Drosophila melanogaster: one gene and its partners. The protein of the gene in region 4 interacts with the protein of the main gene of each other region in a pairwise test. Each region holds a gene or a part of one and is shown on either strand. Other genes may lie near its edges. The genes, in order: GCC88, Cse1, Git and Kap-alpha1.

Region 1 (4,973 bases), on a different chromosome or scaffold from region 4:
AAGCTAGCTTCCGATATGTGCTCTCACGTAGCCAAACACCCGTTTCGAGTCTTTATCGACCGCTGCCCGGCGAGACACGATCCTGTTTGGAGCACTCCCTGGAGACGGAACGACAGGTGGGACTGCTCGCCGAGCGCATCGAACGGGATGGCGGCATCGCTCTAATCATGGATTATGGCCATTTTGGCGAGAAAACCGACACTTTCCGGGCCTTCAAGCAGCACAAGCTGCACGATCCGCTGGTGGAGCCGGGCAGTGCTGATCTCACGGCCGATGTGGACTTCAAGCTAGTGCGGCACATTGCCGAGACACGCGGAAATGTCCACTGCTGCGGTCCCGTGGAGCAGGGACTGTTCCTGCAGCGAATGCAGGGTGAGGCTCGACTGGAGCAACTGTTGGCACATGCGCTGCCCGAAAACCAGGAGATCATTCGCTCCGGCTACGAGATGCTCACGGATCCAGCCCAGATGGGCACTCGCTTTAAGTTCCTGGCCATGTTTCCCGGCGTGCTAGCTGCCCACCTAGACAAATACCCAGTCGTCGGATTTAGTTAGTTATCTATTTAGGATCTGTTTGTAGGGTTTTAAATATGTTGCACATGATTGTTGAACAAAAGTACGAATGTTATTTCTTCTGGAATGATGCATTGATCGCCTGCATCTCTGCGGCGGTGAACTGGAGCACCGCCGAGATGGCGTTCAGCATGTGACGCTTGCCGTCCGCGTCCCGGGTAACAATGTAGCTGATAATAACGTTCTTCAGGTACTCCAGATTGGCACCCTCGCGCGTCTTGCAACGTTCGAGTCTAGAATGGGAGTAGAGATCGTGGCATGACTTTCTAAGACAACAACGATAACAACGACAACGACGCACCTGTCCACCTGCTCCTTGAGGCACTCGATCTTCTCGTGCATTTCCTGCTGAGATGTCACCTTGTCCTGGATCGCCTTTCGCAGCGTCGACTCGGCGGCGTATTTGGCTTTCCGCAGTGTCGTGATTTCGATGTCCTTGCGCGCCAACTCGTTGGCATAGTGCAGCATGTGGCAGTTCTCGCCCATCGACATTTTCTTGGAGCGCACCTTTAGCTTTCTTTCCCGCTGCTCCCCCTCCACGCTGTCGGTGTCGGAGGAATAGTGAAAGGAATCGGCAGCTGCTTCAAGTGTGGGTGTGGCCAGTGTGCTGCCCACACCGCTGGCCGAGTGAAAGACCTCGAAGGAGGTCTGCAGTGTCTTAATCTCCTGCTCCTTCTCATCCAGCAGCTGCAGTGACCTCTGGCGCTGCTTCTGCAGTAGCTGTTCCAGCTCGTTCAGTTTGCAGCGCGTCTCGTTCTCCAGTTCAGCCTTGGCTTCCTGCCACTTGGTTCGTTCGTTCTTCAATGCCAGGCGCAGCTTTTCGCCCTGCTGCTTTAGTTCGACTTCCGCCTCGTCGATGTTGCGATTGAGCACCTGCACCTTCTCCTGCAGCGTTTGGATGTGCGAGTGCTGCAGCTGCACCTTCTGTTCGAGTAGCTGTCGCTGCTGCTTGGATGCCTCGAGCATTTGCTGCACACCCTGAAGCTGTTGCTCGCAGTGGGCGTGACTCTCGACTCGGGTAGCTGTTTGGCCGCTAAATGATAGGATCTCCCCGAGATCCAGTGGATTGGCAGAACGGGCATTGGCTGTGGTAAGCAGTTTCTTCAAGCGCACCATCTCGTCAACCAGCGTGGCTACGTCCACATCTTCGTTTAGCGCCCTTGAATTGGATGTTGGACGCACATGTGCCTGCTCTAGATCCTGCAGCTGCTGCTTCAAATCATGGATGCTGTCCTGATCTTGCTGACGCAGGCGGTCGTAGCTGCCGACAGTGGTGCTGAGCTCCGCCAGGCGTGCCTCTAGACTGGCCACGCGATCCTCGTGCAGCGCCGCCTGCCTGCGACTCTGTTCCTCGGCACGCAGCACGCGACGCTGTTCCTGACGAATGGCCACTGCATGCTGCTCCTTCAGTTGCTGCATCTCAAGGCGCACTTGCTGAAGGAGAGCGGCGCTGTCCGCACTCGCTGACGCTGCTGCAGAGTGCTCGGTCTTGGCCTGGAACTGTTTCAGCTGGGAGCGAGCCTCCTTTAGCTGGGATTGCAATTCCCGTAGCCGGCTATTCTCTGCCTCGTTGCTGGCGAACTGGGTCTTGAAGTTGTTTAACTGCATCTCAATGTTGTCCTTTAGATGCCGCTCGTCCGCATAGAGTTTCTGCAGTTCGCGGATCATGAGCATTTGGTTGTTGGTCTCTTTCTCGCGCTCCTGTCGCTCCACGATCCACTTGGCCTTGATCTCGTCCACGTCGCTTTTGGCCCGAGCAGCCTGCTCCTTGGCCCGGGTATTAAGCTCCTGAATGGTCTGCTCCTTTTGGGCGATTTGGCTGCGCAGTTGCTTTTTATCCGCCTGAAAGGAGGCCTCCATGCGGGATTTCTCAGCGGAAAGAGTGGCCAGCGAGTTCATCAGGGTGATAATTTGGGTCTGCAGTTGACCCTCGGCCGGGGGAGCAGGCGGACCCGGTGCAGCGCCCTCGGTTGCTCCATCCGCAGAGTCGGTGCTGGTTTTTTTGGACTCCAACTCCCTGGCCGGCGATCCGGACTCGCCCACCGCCGTGGCCTCCGCATGCGCCGCCAGACTCGTCTCCAATGCCTCCTTCTCCTTAAGCAGACCCTTGTAGGCAGTGACCACGTCTACAAATTGGGCTCATTAATCCATTTGCATTGCGAATTCATCTATGTCTCACCTTTTAGACGCTTTTCATAGCGCCCCAGTTGCTCCTTTTGGGTGGACACCAGCGCCTCCAGCTCCCTCTGTCGCTTCTCCATTTCGCCTTGAAAGGGAATTAGTTCATTTACTTTCAGTTCGCTTAGTAGTTCAATTTATTTATCTCCCGTGTCATTTTTGCATTTCTTTTAATTAACAAATTTCAGCAGCTGGCACGCGGGCCTGCCAACTTGTCATGTTTGCTCAGGCACTAAAAATTGCCATCATTCTGATTTAAACTTTTTTTTATTTTTGCGGTTTTTCAAAAAATAATTAATAACCAAATTTACATAAATTAAAAACTATTTTAAATGTAAATGTATTATAAATCAGCTGCATAGTTGCTAAATTGAGATATTTTCAAACATTAATATTAGTCCAATTAAAGTAAATTAAATGTTGAGCCTAACTAAATCTTATTTCATTCGCCCTCCTCGTCCTTCATCATCTGCTCAATGAGTCTCTTACGTTCCTCAGCTTGGCGCAGCTTTCGCATGACCAGGTCCTCGTAGTCGGTGGATGACGCACTGCACCCAGTGGTGGCCGATTTGGTTGTCTGCTTGTCTGCCGCCGGCGGCGTTACCCACTCGAAGTGCAGCGGCTTGGCGGGATCGCCTTTTTCGTAGGCCAAGACCATGTCGCAGGCTTCGCGCGTGGCCAGCTCCACCATGGCGCGTCCGCGTCGCTTGCTGTTGACCACCAGGGCCACCACGTCGCCGTACTTCTTCAGATACTTGAGCAGCTCTTGCTGTGTGTAATCCTGGCCAGGTTCGGCCTTCCACTTCATCTTGATGCGATGCTGGGCGGAATCAAACTGGACCGGCTGTTGCTGCAGTTTCTGTTGCTCCGCGTGATTCCGCCGGAACTGCTCCTGCATGGCTCGCTGCTCCTCCTCCAGCAGACGGGAGCCCTCGCGTCGCAACCGCTCGATCTGCTCATGCAGCACCTCCTCGTCGCTTTTGGCCACCGTGCTGTAGGGTTGGCTCTTCGCCAGTTTGTGCAGTGCCGCCCGTTCACGTTCCTCCAGTTCCAGCTTCAGCTTCTGCCGCTTCCCGTCCAGTTGGCGACTCCTCAGCTCCGCCGCCTTCTTGGCCTTCAGCACTTTGTCATAAGCTGCGCGCGCGGATTCATCCGTGAGGATCTCCAGAGCCTTGGACAACTCATGGAAGCGCTCGACTGCCTTCGGATTGTCCGGATTCTTGTCGGGATGGCACTCGAGGGCCTTCTTGCGGTACGCCTTGCGTATCTCATTTTGATCAGACTCGAGAGAAATGCCCAGAAGATCGTAAAGATTCACGTCACTGTACTTTTTGCTAGCCATTTAGTCTTATTTTACTCCTTATTCAACAACTGGAACATGGGTTTGTTTTGCAGTTTGTCTTTTTTGGGCAAAAGTTAGCTAAAATATACTATTTTATACGAGACTTATTTCACAACTGCAGCCGGCGGTCCAAAAATGTCCAAATAAAACATTTGCAATTGTTTACTGGATCAGCTGTTCGCTGCAACGAGTTGGCAGCCCCGCAACACAACGTGCCCATTTGTTTGGCGTGGATTAATCTAAGTTATCGCAAAAAAAACTCAAATATAATATGACCTTTAGGCGCTGAATTAAGCTGAAGGTACGTCATGAGCATCTATCACGACGAGGTGGAGATCGAGGACTTCGAGTACGACGAGGAGGAGGAGATGTACTACTATCCCTGTCCATGCGGCGATCGATTTCAGATCTCCAAGGTAACGAGTCGTATACGCAACCTTTTTTTTTCTGGACTCCCCATATCACTTGGTAAATTTCCACTTTAGGAGGAGCTAATCGAGGGCGAGGAGGTGGCCACCTGTCCCAGCTGCTCCCTAGTCATCAAGGTCATATACGATCCGGTAAGTGACTCATTCAGAAATACACCTAGAACTCCCCAGAAAACTCAAGCAATCTGATTTTCCGAATTTCAGGAGATGTTCAAAGCTGAGGAGGATGAAGAAAGTGCGCTGAACGAGAAGCTCGGCGACCTGAAGCTCGAGAAGAACTAACACACAGTTTGGTGTAATTAAATAGTTTTTATTTATATATTTTTATATATATATAGACTTCATTTTAGTGTAAATAATACGATGACTAGTAAAACAATGATTTCAAATTATGCAAGCTCGCAAAAACAGTTTCGATTCGTTATGGATTATTCGTTTTGGGTGAATTACAAA
Region 2 (6,321 bases), on a different chromosome or scaffold from region 4:
AAAATTTGATTTATTTACATGACACTTAAATTCATTAACAAATGCATTCAATAACAATCTATTTGTGTTAATCAGTACTACATGCATGTGCAAAAGTCATACAAAATATGCTTTGTAAATTGGCAATCACAAGTTTCCTTCTTAACTTGCATTCTGGCTTATAAATTACGAAAAGTACACGGACCCGACCGATGCAGATATTTCAGTGTTGCTCCATTTTTAAATGTTAACCTTTTTTGAAACCTAACTACTGTAGTCGGTGCCGTTGAGCGAGTTTTTGAAATGCTGGACGACATAATCGTGATAATAGGCCATTATGCACAGAGGCTGACCAAGAATAATGGAAGCCCACACGATTATATTGCCCATTCGGGGACCCAGTTTCTTTTCAATGGATTTGGATATGGCCGATAGGGGAATCTGACCCATCATGCCCATAAATGCCCAGATCTTGTATATTTGCAAAGGAACTGAAACCTGAAAATATAAATTATATTATTGTACAAAATTTGAAATTCTAAATATCAACCCTCATACCAAATATTCATGGAAGACGGCACTGAAAAGAAAGACAATAGTAGAGGCCTGTCTTGAGGAATATCCCATTTGGACCACAGGGATGTAGAGATGACGCACGCACCACCTATGAACTGGCATGTTCCATGTACGCCAGAAGGTGTCAATGTTATTCGCATTCCACCAATCACAATAAAAATTGCGATCTGCAAAATTCAGCAGTTCGCCGACCGCATTAAGAAAAGAGTGGAACATTAGATAGAAAAAGCAGAGCCAGCAAAGATGATTGGGTAGCTAATTAAAGAAAAATTATTAAATAATACTCAAACGTTTTATAATTTTCACTCTACCAACCGCAAGTTTAAGAAGTCGCTCAGTGGCTAAGGCCACGTCCATATTGGAGAACGGAATCAGGGAGTTCCGAACCGATGGAATGATCCATTGTTGAAACAAGGCCATAACCACATTCACTCCAATCACCACCTCCAATAAACGCTTCAGCAAAAAGCGTTTGCGCACGCGAGAAGTTCGCGGGAAATTCAACTCATAGCAGAGAGTGGGCGCGCAAAGGAAGTACAGGAGATCCTTGTATGTGAGATTATCAGGATATTGCACCAGCTTGGAAACGTCCTCGTCTTCTTCACCTCCATTCAAAACTCCTTTTTCTGGATGAAAGATGAATTTTTAATATATGACATTCCGTTGAGAGATCTCAACATACTTAGTTCCGCCAAAGTTATGCTTGGTCGACGCTCCCGCGGATTCTTTTGATAATAAGTCTGACGGCACCACATATTCGTCTGCACATAGGACCATAGTTTTAGGAACAACACAGAGTAAAAGAAGCAAACTGTTGAAGCGCCCACTAAAGATTAACAGATAATTAAATATTTTAAAATACACCTAAACTAAGTTAATTTCTCACTCAAACTAAAAGCATGTCCTTTTAGGTGAATTGTTACCACCGGTAGGCAAACCAAGACAACAATGTTCACTATCTGGATGAACAAGCCCAAGCCCTCTGCAATTATTTCCTGGAAAAGAATTACAAATTTGTTTTAATTTTTAATTCATTCAGTTGGTTTTTGAAAAAAAAAAACAGGAATTGATATCATATCAAATGATACTAAATTAGTAAAGTTCAATATGCGATATTTCTGATATGAACATTTAAAATCTAAAACCATCGAATCCTAGTAACAGTAACTATAAACAATCGATATCGAAAACTCGCCCTGAGTTCCATCCCCAGATCGGCGAGCATTGTGTGCGAAAACGAATTGCGATTTCATTTCATGTTGCAAGAGTGTGGAGGAACAAGCCACGAGTGATATAAATTAAAGCAAATAGGACCATCGAAAAGAAAATATACTCAAAATGGAAGTGACAGAGGCAAATTTACAGCTGCTGGCCGGTTATTTGCAGCAGACGCTGAGCGCCGATCCCAATGTCCGCCGGCCGGGTGAGTGTGTGTGTGTAGGAATGCATGTGCACACACACAACTGCACATGCGTGCAGGGGTGCTGATGTGTATGTGCGCGGGAAATGGTTTTTGGCGACGCCAAAGAAAAATACGGTTTTTAAATCCATTTGAAGTTGTCTACAAGTTTTCCCTATGTCAAAGAATTTATACAGTCACGCTTTCTATTAATTGAATCGAGATTAGCTGATCTTGATATGACTGTTGCCAAGCCACCTTTCAAAACCATAGACCTAGTTTTAGGATTATTTAAGGCATACCAAGCCTATAGACTCCGCACCACCATAACCAAGCTTTTGAAAATATTGTATAAAAAACTTATTGCTTGAATTGAAAATATGTTTAGTCTAACGAGAAACACTGTAAGCTCCTATCGGTTCCTTATATATTTGTATTTGCAACATCCGATTTACATAAGTACAATAGTTCTAACAAACACACCATTTCCTTCTCTACTTTTATAGCCGAAAAACTTTTGGAGTCCACGGAACTACAGCAGAATTACCCGATCCTACTGCTCAATCTGATAGACAAAGCCCAAATGGACATGACTACGCGGGTGGCGGGAGCCATTGCCTTTAAGAACTATATTAAGCGGAATTGGGCAGCCCACCTTGACAGCGACGGACCGGATCGCATCCACGAAAGTGACAGGAATACAATTAAGACCTTGATCGTTACGCTAATGCTCCACTCACCGGTGGCATTGCAAAAACAACTAAGCGACGCGGTCAGCATCATAGGCAAATATGATTTTCCCAAAAAATGGCCGCAGCTTATCGACGAGATGGTGGAGAGATTTGCCTCTGGTGATTTCAATGTCATCAACGGCGTTTTGCAAACCGCACACTCGCTTTTCAAGCGCTATCGTTATGAGTTCAAGTCGCAGGCTTTGTGGGAGGAGATCAAATTTGTACTGGATCGTATGGCTAAACCTCTGACAGACCTGCTCCAGGCCACAATGCAGTTGACTAAGGTGCACGAGAACAATGCCGGCGCCCTGAAGGTCATCTACGGTTCATTGGTCCTTGTGAACAAGGTGTTTTTCTCGCTCAACTCCCAAGATTTGCCGGAGTTCTTTGAGGACAATATCAATACGTGGATGGGAGCGTTTATTCAGCAACTAGCTGCGGATGTGCCATCCCTGCGTACTGCAGATGATGAGGATGCGGGTGTTCTAGAGCATCTGCGTGCTCAAGTCTGCGAGAACATTTGCCTTTATGCAAAAAAGTACGACGAGGAGTTCAAGCCATTTATGGAGCAATTTGTGACTGCAGTTTGGGAGTTACTGGTCAAGACAAGTTTGCACACCAAGTACGATTCGGTAAGTAACAGAAACCATACGCTTTCTTAATAATTATTTTTATAATTTTTCCATTCTTATTTTGCGCACAGTTGGTCTCCCATGCTCTGCAGTTCCTCTCTGTGGTGGCTGACCGCCAGCATTATCAGAGCATTTTCGAGAACCCAGAGATTCTTGCTCAGATCTGCGATAAAGTTGTCATTCCCAATCTAGACATCCGGCCCTCAGATGAAGAAATTTTCGAGGACAGTCCGGAGGAGTACATTCGAAGGGATATTGAAGGCTCTGACATTGACACACGACGTCGGGCGGCATGTGATCTGGTGAAGACTCTATCAATCAACTTTGAACAAAAGATCTTTGGCATTTTTGGCCAGTATCTAGAGAGATTGTTGACCAAGTACAAGGAGAATCCGGCTACCAATTGGAGGTCAAAGGATACGGCAATTTATTTGGTTACTTCGTGGGCATCTCGAGGAGGAACTCAAAAGCATGGCATCACACAGACCTCGGAGTTGGTTCCACTTCCCGAATTTTGTGCCCAGCAAATTATTCCAGAACTGGAAAGACCCAACAGTAAGCCCAAATAACCATTTTCCCAATTCGATCATCTTATATCTGCATTCTTCCAATGCTCTTTGCAGTTAACGAGTTTCCTGTTCTTAAGGCTGCTGCAATTAAGTATGTAATGGTGTTCCGCAGCATTTTGGGTCCCCAAGTCTTAGCAAGCTGCCTGCCCCAGCTAATTCGACATCTCCCCGCCGAAAGCTCTGTTGTTCATAGCTATGCTGCTTGTTCAGTGGAGAAGATCCTTTCTATGCGGGATGCTAGCAACGCGATCGTTTTTGGTCCTCAGATTTTAGCACCTTACACAACTGAACTAATTAGTGGGTTATTTGCGACCCTTTCACTCCCAGGTTCCGGTGAAAATGAGTACGTAATGAAAGGTGAGTTTGGGGGACTATCTCATACGTTTCTAATATGTTAACAAAACTCTAATTATTATTATTAGCCATTATGCGAAGTTTTTCGGTCTTGCAATCGGCCGCCATGCCCTTTATGGGCGTCGCCCTTCCACGGCTTACCGAGATTCTCACCCAAGTGGCCAAGAATCCATCGCGTCCGCAGTTCAACCACTATCTTTTTGAAACGCTGGCTCTGTGTATAAAGTAAGTGTTATGCATTTTGGTGGTAAAGAGCAATAACAAATTTTCTTTTTCCCTAGAATTGTTTGTCACGCCGATTCCTCGGCTGTGAGCTCCTTTGAGGAGGCATTGTTCCCAGTTTTCCAGGGCATCTTACAGCAGGACATTGTCGAATTTATGCCCTACGTCTTCCAGATGCTTTCTGTGCTGTTGGAAATGCGCGAGGGCACTGGTACCATACCGGAACCCTATTGGGCTTTGTTCCCCTGCTTGTTGTCACCAGCTCTGTGGGACAGGACGGGCAATGTCACACCATTAATTCGCCTGATTTCTGCTTTCATCAAGCAGGGATCTGCTCAGATTCAAGCCTTGGGTAAACTGGTAAGTTATATTATACATCACAAATTTTATTTTACAGAGTCCAATCTTATGCATTTTTCAACATATATTTCAGAGCGGTATCCTCGGAATATTCCAAAAGATGATTGCCTCCAAGGCTAATGACCATGAAGGGTTTTATCTTCTCCAGAATCTGCTTTCCTACTACCCTCCCGCTGAGATTCAAACTAATCTTCGTCAGATCTTTGGCCTGCTCTTCCAGCGATTGTCTCTCTCAAAGACTCCGAAGTATTTAAGCGGCATCATTATCTTCTTTAGCTTTTATGTGATTAAGTTCAGTGGCAGTCAGATGGCTCAATTGATAGATGAGATTCAGCCTAACCTATTTGGCATGCTGCTGGACCGCGTGTTTATCACCGAAATGGGCAAGATTCCCAAGGAACAGGATCGCAAAATGGTGGCCGTGGGTGTCACTAAGCTACTTACAGAAACTCCTGAGATATTGCAGCAACAGTACGCTACTTTCTGGCCACGACTGCTGCATTCTCTAATCGATCTTTTTGAACGACCACCAGAGAAATTGATGGGTCTCGAAATAGGAGAGACAGCTGGAGTTGCCGAAGATCCCGATGCGGGCTATCAAGTGGCATTTGCCCAACTGACTCATGCCCAGCCCAACCAGCAGGATCACCTGGCTGAGATTAAGGATGCTCGCCAGTTTCTAGCAACTTCGCTCTCTAAGTTTGCCCAGGCTAGGGCAGGAGAATTTTCCACTTTGTTGTCGCCCCTGGAGCCGGAGTACAAGCAAGTACTCCAGAAATATTGTGATCAGGCTGGAGTACGCATTGCCTAAAGGAATCGACCGACTTTAAGCTCATTCATCGCAATCAAACCTCGCCATACATTCGAAAATTTATGCATACACGCACTCGATCACTCATTGCATGCCCAGTTTATTGTCATTTAAAAATTGTATCTAATATATGTAAGTTTTGTAAACAATTAAAAATTATGTTTTCCGAAACTAGTGTGTTTCAACTGCGATAACTTCTGAATATTTCATACTTTTCTCTCTGATAAACAAATCATTTCTTGTCAAACACCCTTCACTCAATTTCAAAATTGTGAATTTAGAATTAACTAGATATTTCGAAATTTATCATATAAGCCATGTTCAAGCTAATAACGTATTTCAAGTCACGATCGAAGAAAATAGGCGTGAGATGCTATCAAAGTAAGTACTTACCATGGCTAGACCCTTCTCCACAGCCAAACAGAGCGAGATATGCACTAAAGAGTCTGTAAAATATGGTGAGACGAAGGTTATCAATTTCGTTTGCGTAATCCTTGATTTTGTGCGTGCTTACAAATGCTCAGGATTAGGGCGTTATGTCCTTCGCCTTCGTTGTGTCCGCTTATGAAGAAGAACCAATCCAGTGGATTGATGCGAATGCCATACCTAAAAAAATAATGAATTAGCTAAAACTTGTATTTCTACTCAAGATCATCGTAGTTACTTTAGGAGATTCTCCAAGCCC
Region 3 (5,798 bases), on a different chromosome or scaffold from region 4:
TGGCCGATCTGGATCTTGGCTCCAAATATGAAAGCCACCTTGGTAGCTGTGGGCCATGATCGAGTGTCCATCGCCGGAGAACTTTCCACCATAGAAGCCCACGGAGTTTCCACCCACTTCACCCACGCGAACTTCTTCCAACCAAATGCCTTCTTCCGTAGGTGCCCAAATTATGACGGTCTTGTCAATAGAAGCGGATAGAAGGCGGAGCTCTAAATGGATAACGTTTTTGAAAGGTCTTTGGGGAGTTCAATTGCTGTGCTTTACCTTGATCGGGTGTTTTGTGCCAGTGGACCCCATAAATCCATCCCTCATGTCCATATAGAACCGATTCCAAGCTCACTGCATACCAGGCTTCTTTCCCCAGTTGTAGTATCTTCTCCTCCACCTTTATCTCATCGTCGTTGTGGCTCAATTGATGCAGATCAACCCGATTCTCTTGCATTTGCTCTTTGCTGCGCGGCGCAATCCGCCAGAGACGAATAAAGTTATCCTGAGAGCCACTGGCCAGCAGCAAATCCTCGCCATCGACAACGAAATCCAGACCTCGAACCCAGTCTTCGTGGCCAGTGAGCTTGTGTTTGCGTTGGAACTGCCGACCTAGTGAATCTCCTTCACCTGCGGTTTCTACCTGTTCCGACCACAGGGAAACAGTCTCGTCATCGCCACTGAAGGCGAGCAGAACCTGGTTGCTCTTGGGCAGCAGCTGCAGTCGAAGACAGAAGCAGAATCCGTCGGATAAAGATATGGTTTGAAAGCACACATAATTATTATCCTGGAAAGTCCACAACTTGATGGTGGTATCTGCTGCTGCGGTCGCCAAAAGCCAGGAGCCATCCTGTTGGCGAATTCCATCCACAGTATTTACGCCACTTGTGTGTCCTTTGAGAGTGAAGCTCTTAGTCGTTCCCGTTTCATCCAGTTCCCAGAGAATAGCAATTGCATCATCTCCGCCGGAAAGAAGTTTGTCGCAATCCAACCACCTCACAGTGTTTACTCGCTTTGTGTGCTCCACCAGCGTGAACAGGACCTTGGCTGAGTTGCCTTGAAACTAAAAATTGGTTAAATATACTATGTTTCCAGTAAAGGCAAAATTTCCTACCTTTGGATCCATAATGGCTATGGCGTTACATGCCCCATAGGCAATCCAACCATTTGGACCCCAATCCGCGCATTCCGTGCAGCGGTTGCAGGCCACTGAAGTATGCAGATTCTCCACTTGCATGCTAATGTTGCACTTCTATTTTTTAATGACAACTAAATTCGAATTGAATGTCGGCGAAATTGTTTTGTTTTGGCACATGTGCTTCAAATAATGCAGTGCTTCTAAAACTGTCTCATCTGTTCATAAACATATGATTTCTAAGGGAGTGCAAGTGAGACAACTATATGTTGTGAAGAAGCTGGAATAGTGAGGCCAGCCGACAATATTGAAAAGTCTGGCAGGGCTAGTTACGAAAGTTACACCTGTTTGGTTTTTGATTTTTCGGTATTGCAGACCATTGCAAAATTTTGACCGAATAAATATTGCAACTTCTGTAATACTGGGTATATGATGGATTTTAAAATTTGAAAAGGCACAAACACAGCTGCTACATTCGTCAGCCTTTTCACTTCAAATCTAGCGCTTTTCCACTGCTACTGTTTGGTCACACTGGTGCGCAAAATAACTAAAACAAACTCGGAAAAGGCGTCCGCAAATGTTTTCTTCTGCTGCTCCCCGCGTTTAATTAAAAGTAATTTTCCTAATTGATGGCCAGGGGTGAGCCCCAGTTGCTGATATTTGACCTTTCACCGCCAGCGTTTCGGATTTCCAATCAGAAAGCCAACAGCTTGCAACTGACTCACAACGAAGTCACTTGAGATTGTCCGAGTTTTTTTTCAACTTCGGTATTCTATTTTTCGTATCTCCCCTGCAGCTTGTGAGCGTCTTGGAATGCTGAATGTGTTTCGCCAGCAGTATAATCGAAGCGCACAGGAAGTTATTTATAGCGCCGCCGGATTTGGATCATTCCGATCCAGCCACACCCACGATTTCGACCAGATCCAAAATGCCGAGGGGGAAATCCCGCCTGCAAACCGAAGTTTGTGGCGATTGCGGAGCTGGTGATCCATCCTGGGCGAGCATCAACCGGGGCATCCTTCTCTGCGCCGACTGCTGTTCGGTGCACCGCAGTCTGGGCAGGCACATCTCCATTGTGAAGTCTCTACGCCAGGGTAACTGGGAGCCCTCGGTTCTGAACTTTGTGAACTCTCTAAACGCCCATGGAGCCAATAGTGTTTGGGAGCATCATCTGCTGGATGGCAGCACCAACTCCACCGGCGGAAAGCACGTGCCACGCTGGCGGAAACCCACGCCCAAGGATGCACTCCATCCCACCAAATCCGATTTTATTAAGGCCAAGCATGTGAATCTAACGTTCGTGCTAAAACCCAGTCTCCAGGATGACGATGATGGCAATGGCTCAGCGGGCTGTCTGGAACAGGAGCTGAGTAGACAGCTCCATGCCAGCGTGCGGACCAGCAATCTAGAGACTTCACTGCGCTTCTTGGTCCAGGGTGCAGACCCAAATTACTACCACGAGGACAAGCTATCAACGCCACTTCACATGGCCGCCAAGTTTGGCCAGGCATCACAAATCGAGATGCTGCTCATCTATGGAGCCGATGTGAATGCCTTGGATGGCAATGGGATGACTCCTCTGGAACTGGCCAGGGCCAACAATCATAACACCATCGCCGAAAGACTGCTTGATGCCATGTACGATGTCACCGACAGGATCATTACCTTCCTAGGTGGCAAGAAGCCAGATCATGCGGTGAGTTTAGATCTTTAATTACCTGCAGAGTGAAATTATACTTTAATTGGACAAACCATTTAACCTTATCCATTGATTAATCATATATGTATTAAGCCAATTAAGCTATATCCTTGTAACTCCTTAAGTTGTCTTCAGTCTAAAGTTTATAACTATCTATTTAAATTTTTGTTAGTCACAGAACTATATTTATTTAATGGATTCATATTTCCATGAGCAAATGCACAGTTGACTCGACCTTTCCTACCCATTTCCTTATTCCGTTCTATTTAAATACTATTTCCATACGTAGAGTGGCCGCCACATGATTATTCCGGATGCCAATGGCGCGGACATAAGCGAGCAACTGAAGATTGCACGTGGAAAGTTGCAACTCGTGCCAAATAAGATGTTTGAGGAGCTGGTCATGGACCTATACGATGAGGTGGACAGACGCGAGTGCGAAGCCAGTGAGTATGACTGCTAAACATAGACTACAAACAAAGCTAATCTTATTTTTCTTAACGAAATAGTCTGGTCGACAAGCACCCTGAATGCTGATCATGCAACTGTGCCATTTTTGCCGGCTAATCCATTTTTGAGCGCCACGCGCAATCAGGTTTGACCTCGCCGTACATTAATGATTCGAACCTTCATTCATTGACATGGTCTCGCCTACAGGGTCGTCAGAAATTGGCACGCTTCAATCGCGCCGAGTTCACTGGTCTCTTGACCGACGTGCTCGTCGATGCTATGCGACGCCAGAATATGGCCAACCTGCGTCCAATGGATGCCCCAGTGGCCGGGCACCAGTCGCTGCAATCGCTGCCGTATGCCAACAACTCAATGCTGCTCGGCTCGTTCGAGCAGGGCGGTCATGATCCGAATCTGTCGGACGACGAGCCCATTTATGATCCGGTGGCCAGCGATGACGACTATGCCCCAGTGCCACCAATGGCCCAGCAGGTAAACCTAATGCGGCAAAAGATACTCAAGCTGAACAATAGCTTTGGCTAGAAGCGTAAGCGAAGACTGACATTTAGACAACCCGTGCTGTACCCATTGTGTTCATCCGTAGGCCAGGGCACTATAGCTCCCTGATTTTAGGCAACCTAATCCATTTTCAAAGGTAGAAGTCCAAATGTAGAACATAAGCCTCAATAAAACTAGCTGATACTTGTGAAAATGTAGTTTAAATAAGTAGTAGTTGGTACCGTGATTTGTCTGCCTTGCCTTTTGTTTTTATGCAATATTTATTTTTAAAGATTTTGTAATTATTAGTTGTACTTGATTTATATTGATTTATTTTCCTTGTTTTTATGCTTTTTATTTTACTTAGGCCATTGTGCATACGCCACCGCGCAGCGCGAATTCGCACAACGAAATGGAAACGCTGCGCAAACAGCTGAACGATTACAAATCGGAGATCAATCAGCTAAAGAACGTGGTGCAGATGCTGTCCAGCGAGAACACGCAGCTCAAGTCCAAGTTCTCGAGCGCATCGAACAACAGCGTGTACGATGAGCCACTGTGAGATTTTTCATTTGAATTTATTTGGCTAGCTTTATTTTTATGATTTGTTTTAAATTTTCCTTTGCATAGTCGCATTGATCTGAGCTTGAGCAGTCCGGATACAGAGCACGAGCCTCTGTCGCTACCCGAAGGTGGGACTGCCAATGGGGAAAGCGGCTCCTCCAATGATTCGTCAAATCAATCGACCATCAAGCGTCCAGCCAGCATGTACGAGCGTCGTTTGGTACCCAATGTGGCCAAGGGCAATACGGACATACGAAATACGACCAGCATGTACCAAATGGCTGGGGATGGCAAACCTTTTGGTGAGGAGGTCAAAGTGCGCTCTGACTTGGTCACACGCCGTCTTAAGGAGCTCATAAGAGCTATGCAGCCAGTGCCAGAGGATCAAAAGCAGTCGATTGCTCCACATGGAGAGCTTATACGAAGTGCCGTGACTGATTTAATTGCCCTTTATGCCAATTTGGTAAGATGAACATAGGGGCTTCCTTTATAAGGATGTTTCATAATCATAAACATATATTTTAGCCACCGAATGCCAGTGACCCGTCTCGCGAAACCCTTAAACTGCTAACCCGCCAGAACATTCTCATCCAGCACGAGTGCGAGAATCTGCAGAAAGCCATCGAGGCGGATGACAAGCAGGCCATACAGAAGAACACCTTGGAGGTGCGCGACTGCGCCTTCCACATTGCCAGTGCCATAAAGACTTTGGTGTTGCAGTTCTATTGAGACGCCCAAAACACAATCATCGACATAGAAGTTTAAACTCACTCACTCTTTTTTGAAGTATTAACCGACCACTTTAGTGCCCTGCTGACTAACAAAAGTGCTTCCGCCAAATAATTTAAAGAATCCCCTTTACATATAGTTTATGTATTTAATAAATGTTTACATAAATCAATGTACTTCGTTCAATATACACAAAATGCGTTCTTCTACGGGCTAATGACCCATTGCAAAATAGTTTAAAAGTGTTGAAGGATTGGCCCTCAAATTCAAAGGGGGGGAGACAAAGGAGGTGGAAAGATTTACGATATCTGTGTATATATATATATATTTATGGGTCCTTTATAATTTTAATAATCAGGTGCATTTTGAGCCTGTATATTGTTCACTTTAGTTAACTGTACGTTCTAAGCATGGACAATCAGTTAAGCATGGAGTACATATGTATAAGTGGCTTCCTCTACTTATTGTTTAACTTTGTGTAATTGAGTGGGTAGCTGCTGCCTTTGCTCTGGCTGTTTTTCTGACCTCCGGCTGGTGGTCGGATTGCTCGCCTATGGACAAAAATACACTCGTGGTGGTTGTGGTGTGCAAGTTCAAGGAACTATTTAAGATTAAAGCATTTATCCATGAGTGTTGCACGACTGTGCTCGCGGTCTCTAAAAAATAATATGCTCTGCCATGTTCGAAGCGCACCAAAAGTGTCCATAAAAATATACACATCCCATTTTGACATTC
Region 4 (5,606 bases):
TAAAGATTAAACACAATATGTACAGAGTATGTATATTAGCTTAAATTAAGTCCTACTTAATCCTGATTAACTATTCTACTCCGCCGTTGGAACCGTATTCAGAGTAAGGCGTCGTAGCCTGCCCAATACGAAGATTTCGTCTATAGCTTTTTTGGCATAGAATTTTTGGTCCTCGCTGAGTTTGCGGTACTCAAGGGACCAGGTCTGTGCATAAACATTGGACTCCTCGACCCCACTTGCGTCGAGTGGTAGCGCGATCTCGGGAATGTCCGGAATACGGGCTGAAGCTGCAGTGGAATCTCCGCCGCTGACCGCTTCCCCCACAAAGGCGGCAACATCGGCAGGAGAGGGTTTTGTTTCCAACTCATCCGACATGGATTGTTGGTCATCATGTTCCTCATGATGCTCCTGGTCCGTCTCCTCCTTTCTGTCGTTGGATTCGCCCTTGGAATTGTAGCAGCAGAATGCCTGTTTCTTGAGATACTGCAGGTGACACCGGTGACGCCTCAGGTTCGTTGTGGATTTGTGGGTGAAGGACATAATGCTCCTGCAGCCGATGCAGAACAGTACGTGCTCCAGAAAGCTACCATCGTCCTTCTTGATCTTGCGATACACCCGCCACACAGTGCTCCGTGTGCTTTTGTCATTAACAGCCAATTGGTAGACGCCGGTTTCAATTTTCTCGTGAATATCATCGAATTTTAGCGGCATCTTGAATTATTTTGCTATTTTGTTTTGTTTTGTTCAACTAGTCTTTATCATCCACATCGATTGTCCATAATCGTGCTAATCGATTGCACCGCCCAGGTGGCAACCCCGATTAGAGGCACATTGCGCCGGCAATTTTACATATATCATTTTGTTTTTATTATTTTTTAAAGTGTTTTCTTGTTTTCCTACCTGGTTTAAATGGCGGCATTGTGCTTAGACTTTCTCGGCTTCCAGGTGGGGGTTGGAATATTGTTGTTTGGGTTAGTAGCCGGCATACTAAATGGCTTTAAGTTTCCAAACAGGAGGCACTGAAGAAGATGCGAGATGTGGACGACAAGATTATATATGCACTAAATGCCCTGCCAACGGAGTCGTTTAAGGGTCAAGTGAACAGTGAAAGCACCTGTCGCGATCTGTACGCGAAGCTCCAGGAGTCACACTTGGCCAGGGTAAATCCTGATTAAGTACAACACACGGGGATCTTGACAGATAGCTTCTCCTTGCAGCAAGAAAGCATACGCAGTTGCATAACAATTTCGGCTAGTAATCTGAAGAAGCTAAGGGAAAAGCGGGAGACCCAGCCGGATGATGTGGATACGGATAACCAGTTTAGGGCGGAGCAGCGCAAGGTAACCGAAATACCTAAGTCTTACTCTTAACTGATGCCTATGATCCTTTCCAGCTGCGGGTTCTCCAGGCCGAGCTCAATGTCGAGGACATCATTAAAGATCGTTCCTACAAGACCTTCAATGAACGATGCCGGTCCTATTTTCATGCTGGCCAATAGGTGGAACAAATGCAATGACTAGTTTTAGGTGGATTTATTAGCAGAAGTCTCATGGAACTGCCAAGCCAGAAGGCATTTACATGCACTCCGTTGTATTACAAGTTGTTTACAACAAGTACATAAATATAACAGTCTAAAAAGCACAAACTTTATTCGTCGCGGGGCAGGTTGTATGTAGCGTAAACCGATCCGACGGGTACGCATTTTAGGTTGGCCAAGGCTTCCAGGACGCGCTGGGTGGCATCCTTTAGGTCGTTGTACTCGTGCAGCAGTTCAATGATCTTCTTTTTCTGACCCTCTGACGTTTCATTTGTCTTATTGGCCGTTTTGCGCGACTTTTTCTTATTTTCTTTCATGTTTAAATTAAATGCAATTGGATTGGAATTACTGCTATCGGTTGATATCGCTATCGATAGCGCGTCAGCTGTGTGCATTGCATTTTGACAGTCCGGCATCCCCGTTCCTCACAACGTGTAAAATCTCCCGTCCCCTTGCATGATTAAGACGAGAAAAGGATTCTCCGGAACAGGTAAATTGTGTTCTAATTACGTATCTGAAGGCGCCTCTTCTAACCAGGAGTTGTGGTGGCTCAAAGAAGGGCGTAACCGGAGACCAGCGAATGGCTCATGCTGGCTGACCTAAGCCCGCACCTATACGCACAAACGCAAAGCAGCCGTGTGTGCACATATGTACATACACGTACAATGAAATGTGAAAGTGTTGTGATTGTGCATTTTGCCAGGAAAACTGAATAGTTCATTAAATGTGAACCTATTATATGTAAATTATTCGCCTGACAACGTAATCTTTATGTTTCCGGAAATGTAAAATTAGCCTAGAGCAGGCGCTAAGCGAATGTTCAGTGGTTACAGGGCGTAATAATCCTGGTGGGAGTGGATGAGAACATTGGGGAACACCTAGTGATGATTATAAACGTTCAATTCAACTAGTTCGCATTCCACGACGACCTCTACCTATATTTTCTAGATTATTTGCACTTTCGTTTAGCATTTGATCACAGTAGCGGCGAAAATCAAGTCGCACTCACTTTTTATCTGAAACCTGTCTTTACGACTTAAATTATTCTGTTCTCAAAGAAATATTTTTTTTAACTATTTCAAGCTTTTGAATTGCCAAGACGACGAAATGTCTGCCAGCCACAAACAGCGTTATAAAAATGCCGCCTTGGACTCCACAGAGATGCGTCGTCGTCGCGAGGAGGTGGGCATCCAGTTGCGAAAAAACAAACGCGAACAGCAGCTCTTTAAGCGACGCAATGTGGTTCTTGAGCCGGCTACATCCTCAACATCAGCCGGAGTGGAGAGCAACACCGATAACGAACAGCAGGTATATTTTGATCAAGTTTGGCCTGATAGCATAGTCTTAACTATCTCTCCATTCCAATGCAGGCTGCCGACATGCACATGGCTGACAGCAGCACTGGCGGTCAAAACGAGGAAGCTGCTGGAAGCGGGGCACAGCCATCCGTAATCAACGAGGAAATGATTCAAATGCTCTTCAGTGGACGTGAAAACGAACAGCTTGAGGCGACTCAAAAGTTCCGCAAACTGCTGTCCCGCGATCCCAATCCTCCCATTGAGGAAGTCATCCAGAAGGGGATAGTGCCACAGTTTGTCACCTTTTTGCGAAATAGCGCAAATGCCACGCTGCAGTTCGAGGCCGCCTGGACGCTAACGAACATCGCATCGGGCACCTCGCAACAGACCAAGGTGGTTATCGAGGCCGGGGCAGTGCCTATCTTCATTGATTTGCTCTCCAGTCCCCATGATGATGTTCAGGAACAGGCCGTGTGGGCCCTAGGCAACATAGCCGGTGACTCACCCATGTGTCGAGACCATTTGCTCGGCTCCGGCATTCTAGAGCCTCTCCTGCAGTAAGTTATAAATAATTATATTGATAAGATTGCGCCAAAGTAGGTGTGACTTCTTGCAGTGTATTGAGCAACTCGGATCGCATTACCATGATACGGAATGCGGTGTGGACACTTTCAAACTTGTGCCGCGGCAAAAGCCCTCCCGCAGACTTTGCCAAAATTAGCCATGGTCTACCAATACTGGCACGGTTGCTGAAGTACACTGATGCGGATGTACTAAGCGATACTTGCTGGGCCATAGGCTACCTGTCAGATGGTCCCAATGATAAAATCCAGGCTGTAATTGATGCGGGTGTTTGCCGTCGCCTGGTTGAGCTGCTATTGTAAGTAGTCCTGCTGCGCCATTACAAATTAAAATTACACTTATGATTTGTTGACCTATCCTGGCAGACATCCTCAGCAGAACGTGAGCACAGCTGCTCTGAGGGCCGTGGGCAATATTGTGACAGGCGACGATCAGCAGACCCAGGTGATATTGGGGTACAACGCTTTGACCTGCATTAGCCACCTGCTGCATTCGACGGCGGAAACAATCAAGAAGGAGTCGTGCTGGACAATCTCAAATATTGCAGCCGGCAATCGTGAGCAGATCCAGGCCTTAATCAATGCCAACATATTCCCGCAGCTGATGGTTATCATGCAGACGGCCGAATTTAAGACTCGCAAGGAGGCCGCATGGGCCATTACCAACGCAACCAGCAGCGGTACGCACGAACAGATCCACTACCTGGTGCAGGTTGGCTGTGTGCCGCCCATGTGCGATTTTCTCACCGTCGTCGACTCGGACATCGTCCAAGTGGCGCTAAATGCACTTGAAAACATTTTGAAGGCAGGTGAAAAGTTCCAGACGCGACCAAATCCCTATGCTATTACCATCGAGGAATGCGGAGGTAACGCTATTTATTTTTACTTTCAAATTTCCATTTAAATATCGATTCTGTTAATATTATATAGGTTTGGACAAAATAGAGTATCTGCAGGCGCATGAAAACCGCGACATCTACCACAAATCATTTTACATTATCGAACAGTACTTCGGCAACGAAGAGGAGGATAGCCGGGTGGCTCCCGTGGCAGGCACGCAACAGTTTGAGTTCGATCCGGACAACATGCCCAGCACCGGATTTAACTTTTAGCACCCTACCGCGCAGGACATCGTTTAACTATTCAAATACGAATCCCTCAAGTCCTAAACACACAGAAGCATATGCAACAGGAAGCGAAGCCTTGCCGCCGGGATTTAAATGAAGGCGGCCAGAGCACGGACATGAAAAATAGACCGCATGAGAAGGCGTCTGCCTTGCCCAAGTGCAGTCACTACTAGCATTTAAGGAAAGATGGTCGTTCGGTCGGCTCGTTTCTTTGTTACAATCACTCACCTGCTTATTGTATCAGCGTTTAGTTCTATAATTTTCGAAGTGGTCCAGGACCAGGCATGACGAGATTGCTTTCATTTAGTTCGATTGTACTAATTTAATATGTTATACAGAACCCATTGTATATGTTTTTGCTTTCCTCAAATTGAGTCTGTAAATATTTTCCATTTTATATATATATTTTCCAGCCCAAGTACGATGAGATCCTCACATGGTGTTGTTATACATTCTGATTCATTTGATCATTTTGTTATGCGAATCGCCGAATGTAAATTTGTTTAAATTATAAAGCATTGTAATTTAATTTAGAGGACATCAATAAACAACATCTAGACCACAGCTATGCAGATTGGCATAAGTTTTTATTGAATCTTTAAGCTTATAATATCCTCATGTGTAAATAATTTTCGGAATCCTTGGAAATATCCTAGTGGATTCAGCACCATATCTCTTGACCTATAATACCGACACCATCGACTCCAGTCACGAACTTAGGTGCGCTTGACGAACTGCACCTTGTATGGTTTTGGAGTAAGCGTAATCCCAGGCAGAAGCACCATTGATGGAGACTCTCCCGCCGGCAGGACAACGCTAAAATGCTGCACGATCCGCACTAGAAACGAGAAGATGCAGGCACGGGCGAGGGCATCGCCCAGACAACGGCGTCTGCCCATGCCGAAGGGCATGAAGTACTCGTCCTTGAAGCACTTGCCAGCCGAATCGATGAACCTCTCTGGGCGGAACTCCAGCGGATCCTTCCAGTGCTCCTTATCGAGATGCACTGAACGTAGGCTAATCAGAATTGTGGCATTTTTCGGAATGTCGTAGCCACCCAGCT

The links.
Region 1: the proteins of Kap-alpha1 (region 4) and GCC88 interact in a two-hybrid assay, tested with the Drosophila melanogaster proteins (one large-scale study listed by BioGRID).
Region 2: the proteins of Kap-alpha1 (region 4) and Cse1 interact in a two-hybrid assay, tested with the Drosophila melanogaster proteins (one large-scale study listed by BioGRID).
Region 3: the proteins of Kap-alpha1 (region 4) and Git interact in a two-hybrid assay, tested with the Drosophila melanogaster proteins (one large-scale study listed by BioGRID).

Annotation. Positions count from the first base shown.
Region 1 is NT_033777.3:11,227,617-11,232,589, forward strand, and holds GCC88 (GRIP and coiled-coil domain containing 88 kDa), read right to left. Parts: upstream 2,985-4,973; 5' UTR 2,834-2,984; coding exon 2,752-2,833; intron 2,699-2,751; coding exon 874-2,698; intron 806-873; coding exon 625-805; 3' UTR 555-624; downstream 1-554. Other genes in the region: CG17726 (uncharacterized protein), read left to right, coding at 1-554; CG17187 (uncharacterized protein), read right to left, coding at 3,193-4,092; Dph3 (diphthamide biosynthesis 3), read left to right, coding at 4,401-4,508, 4,578-4,652, 4,725-4,802.
Region 2 is NT_033779.5:16,820,639-16,826,959, reverse strand, and holds Cse1 (chromosome segregation 1), read left to right. Parts: upstream 1-1,752; 5' UTR 1,753-1,893; coding exon 1,894-1,978; intron 1,979-2,460; coding exon 2,461-3,320; intron 3,321-3,391; coding exon 3,392-3,875; intron 3,876-3,943; coding exon 3,944-4,246; intron 4,247-4,311; coding exon 4,312-4,468; intron 4,469-4,524; coding exon 4,525-4,825; intron 4,826-4,898; coding exon 4,899-5,636; 3' UTR 5,637-5,804; downstream 5,805-6,321. Other genes in the region: mdy (midway), read right to left, coding at 244-477, 538-810, 871-1,181, 1,238-1,381, 1,442-1,550, 6,030-6,082, 6,151-6,242, 6,301-6,321; CG13280 (uncharacterized protein), read left to right, coding at 5,954-6,017. UniProt on the Drosophila melanogaster protein: Export receptor for importin alpha. Mediates importin-alpha re-export from the nucleus to the cytoplasm after import substrates have been released into the nucleoplasm.
Region 3 is NT_033778.4:10,641,276-10,647,073, reverse strand, and holds Git (G protein-coupled receptor kinase interacting ArfGAP), read left to right. Parts: upstream 1-1,646; 5' UTR 1,647-1,736; intron 1,737-1,919; 5' UTR 1,920-1,943; coding exon 1,944-2,819; intron 2,820-3,111; coding exon 3,112-3,268; intron 3,269-3,331; coding exon 3,332-3,417; intron 3,418-3,479; coding exon 3,480-3,764; intron 3,765-4,137; coding exon 4,138-4,328; intron 4,329-4,400; coding exon 4,401-4,797; intron 4,798-4,859; coding exon 4,860-5,063; 3' UTR 5,064-5,256; downstream 5,257-5,798. Other genes in the region: Elp2 (elongator complex protein 2), read right to left, coding at 1-212, 268-1,051, 1,103-1,225. UniProt on the Drosophila melanogaster protein: GTPase-activating protein for ADP ribosylation factor family members, including ARF1.
Region 4 is NT_037436.4:19,805,293-19,810,898, forward strand, and holds Kap-alpha1 (karyopherin alpha1), read left to right. Parts: upstream 1-1,939; 5' UTR 1,940-2,027; intron 2,028-2,620; 5' UTR 2,621-2,644; coding exon 2,645-2,845; intron 2,846-2,907; coding exon 2,908-3,392; intron 3,393-3,451; coding exon 3,452-3,715; intron 3,716-3,782; coding exon 3,783-4,282; intron 4,283-4,346; coding exon 4,347-4,528; 3' UTR 4,529-5,106; downstream 5,107-5,606. Other genes in the region: CG34116 (uncharacterized protein), read right to left, coding at 76-711; Ccdc58 (Coiled-coil domain-containing 58), read left to right, coding at 910-945, 1,014-1,160, 1,218-1,340, 1,394-1,498; CG14104 (uncharacterized protein), read right to left, coding at 1,648-1,854; Cyp305a1 (cytochrome P450 305a1), read right to left, coding at 5,260-5,606.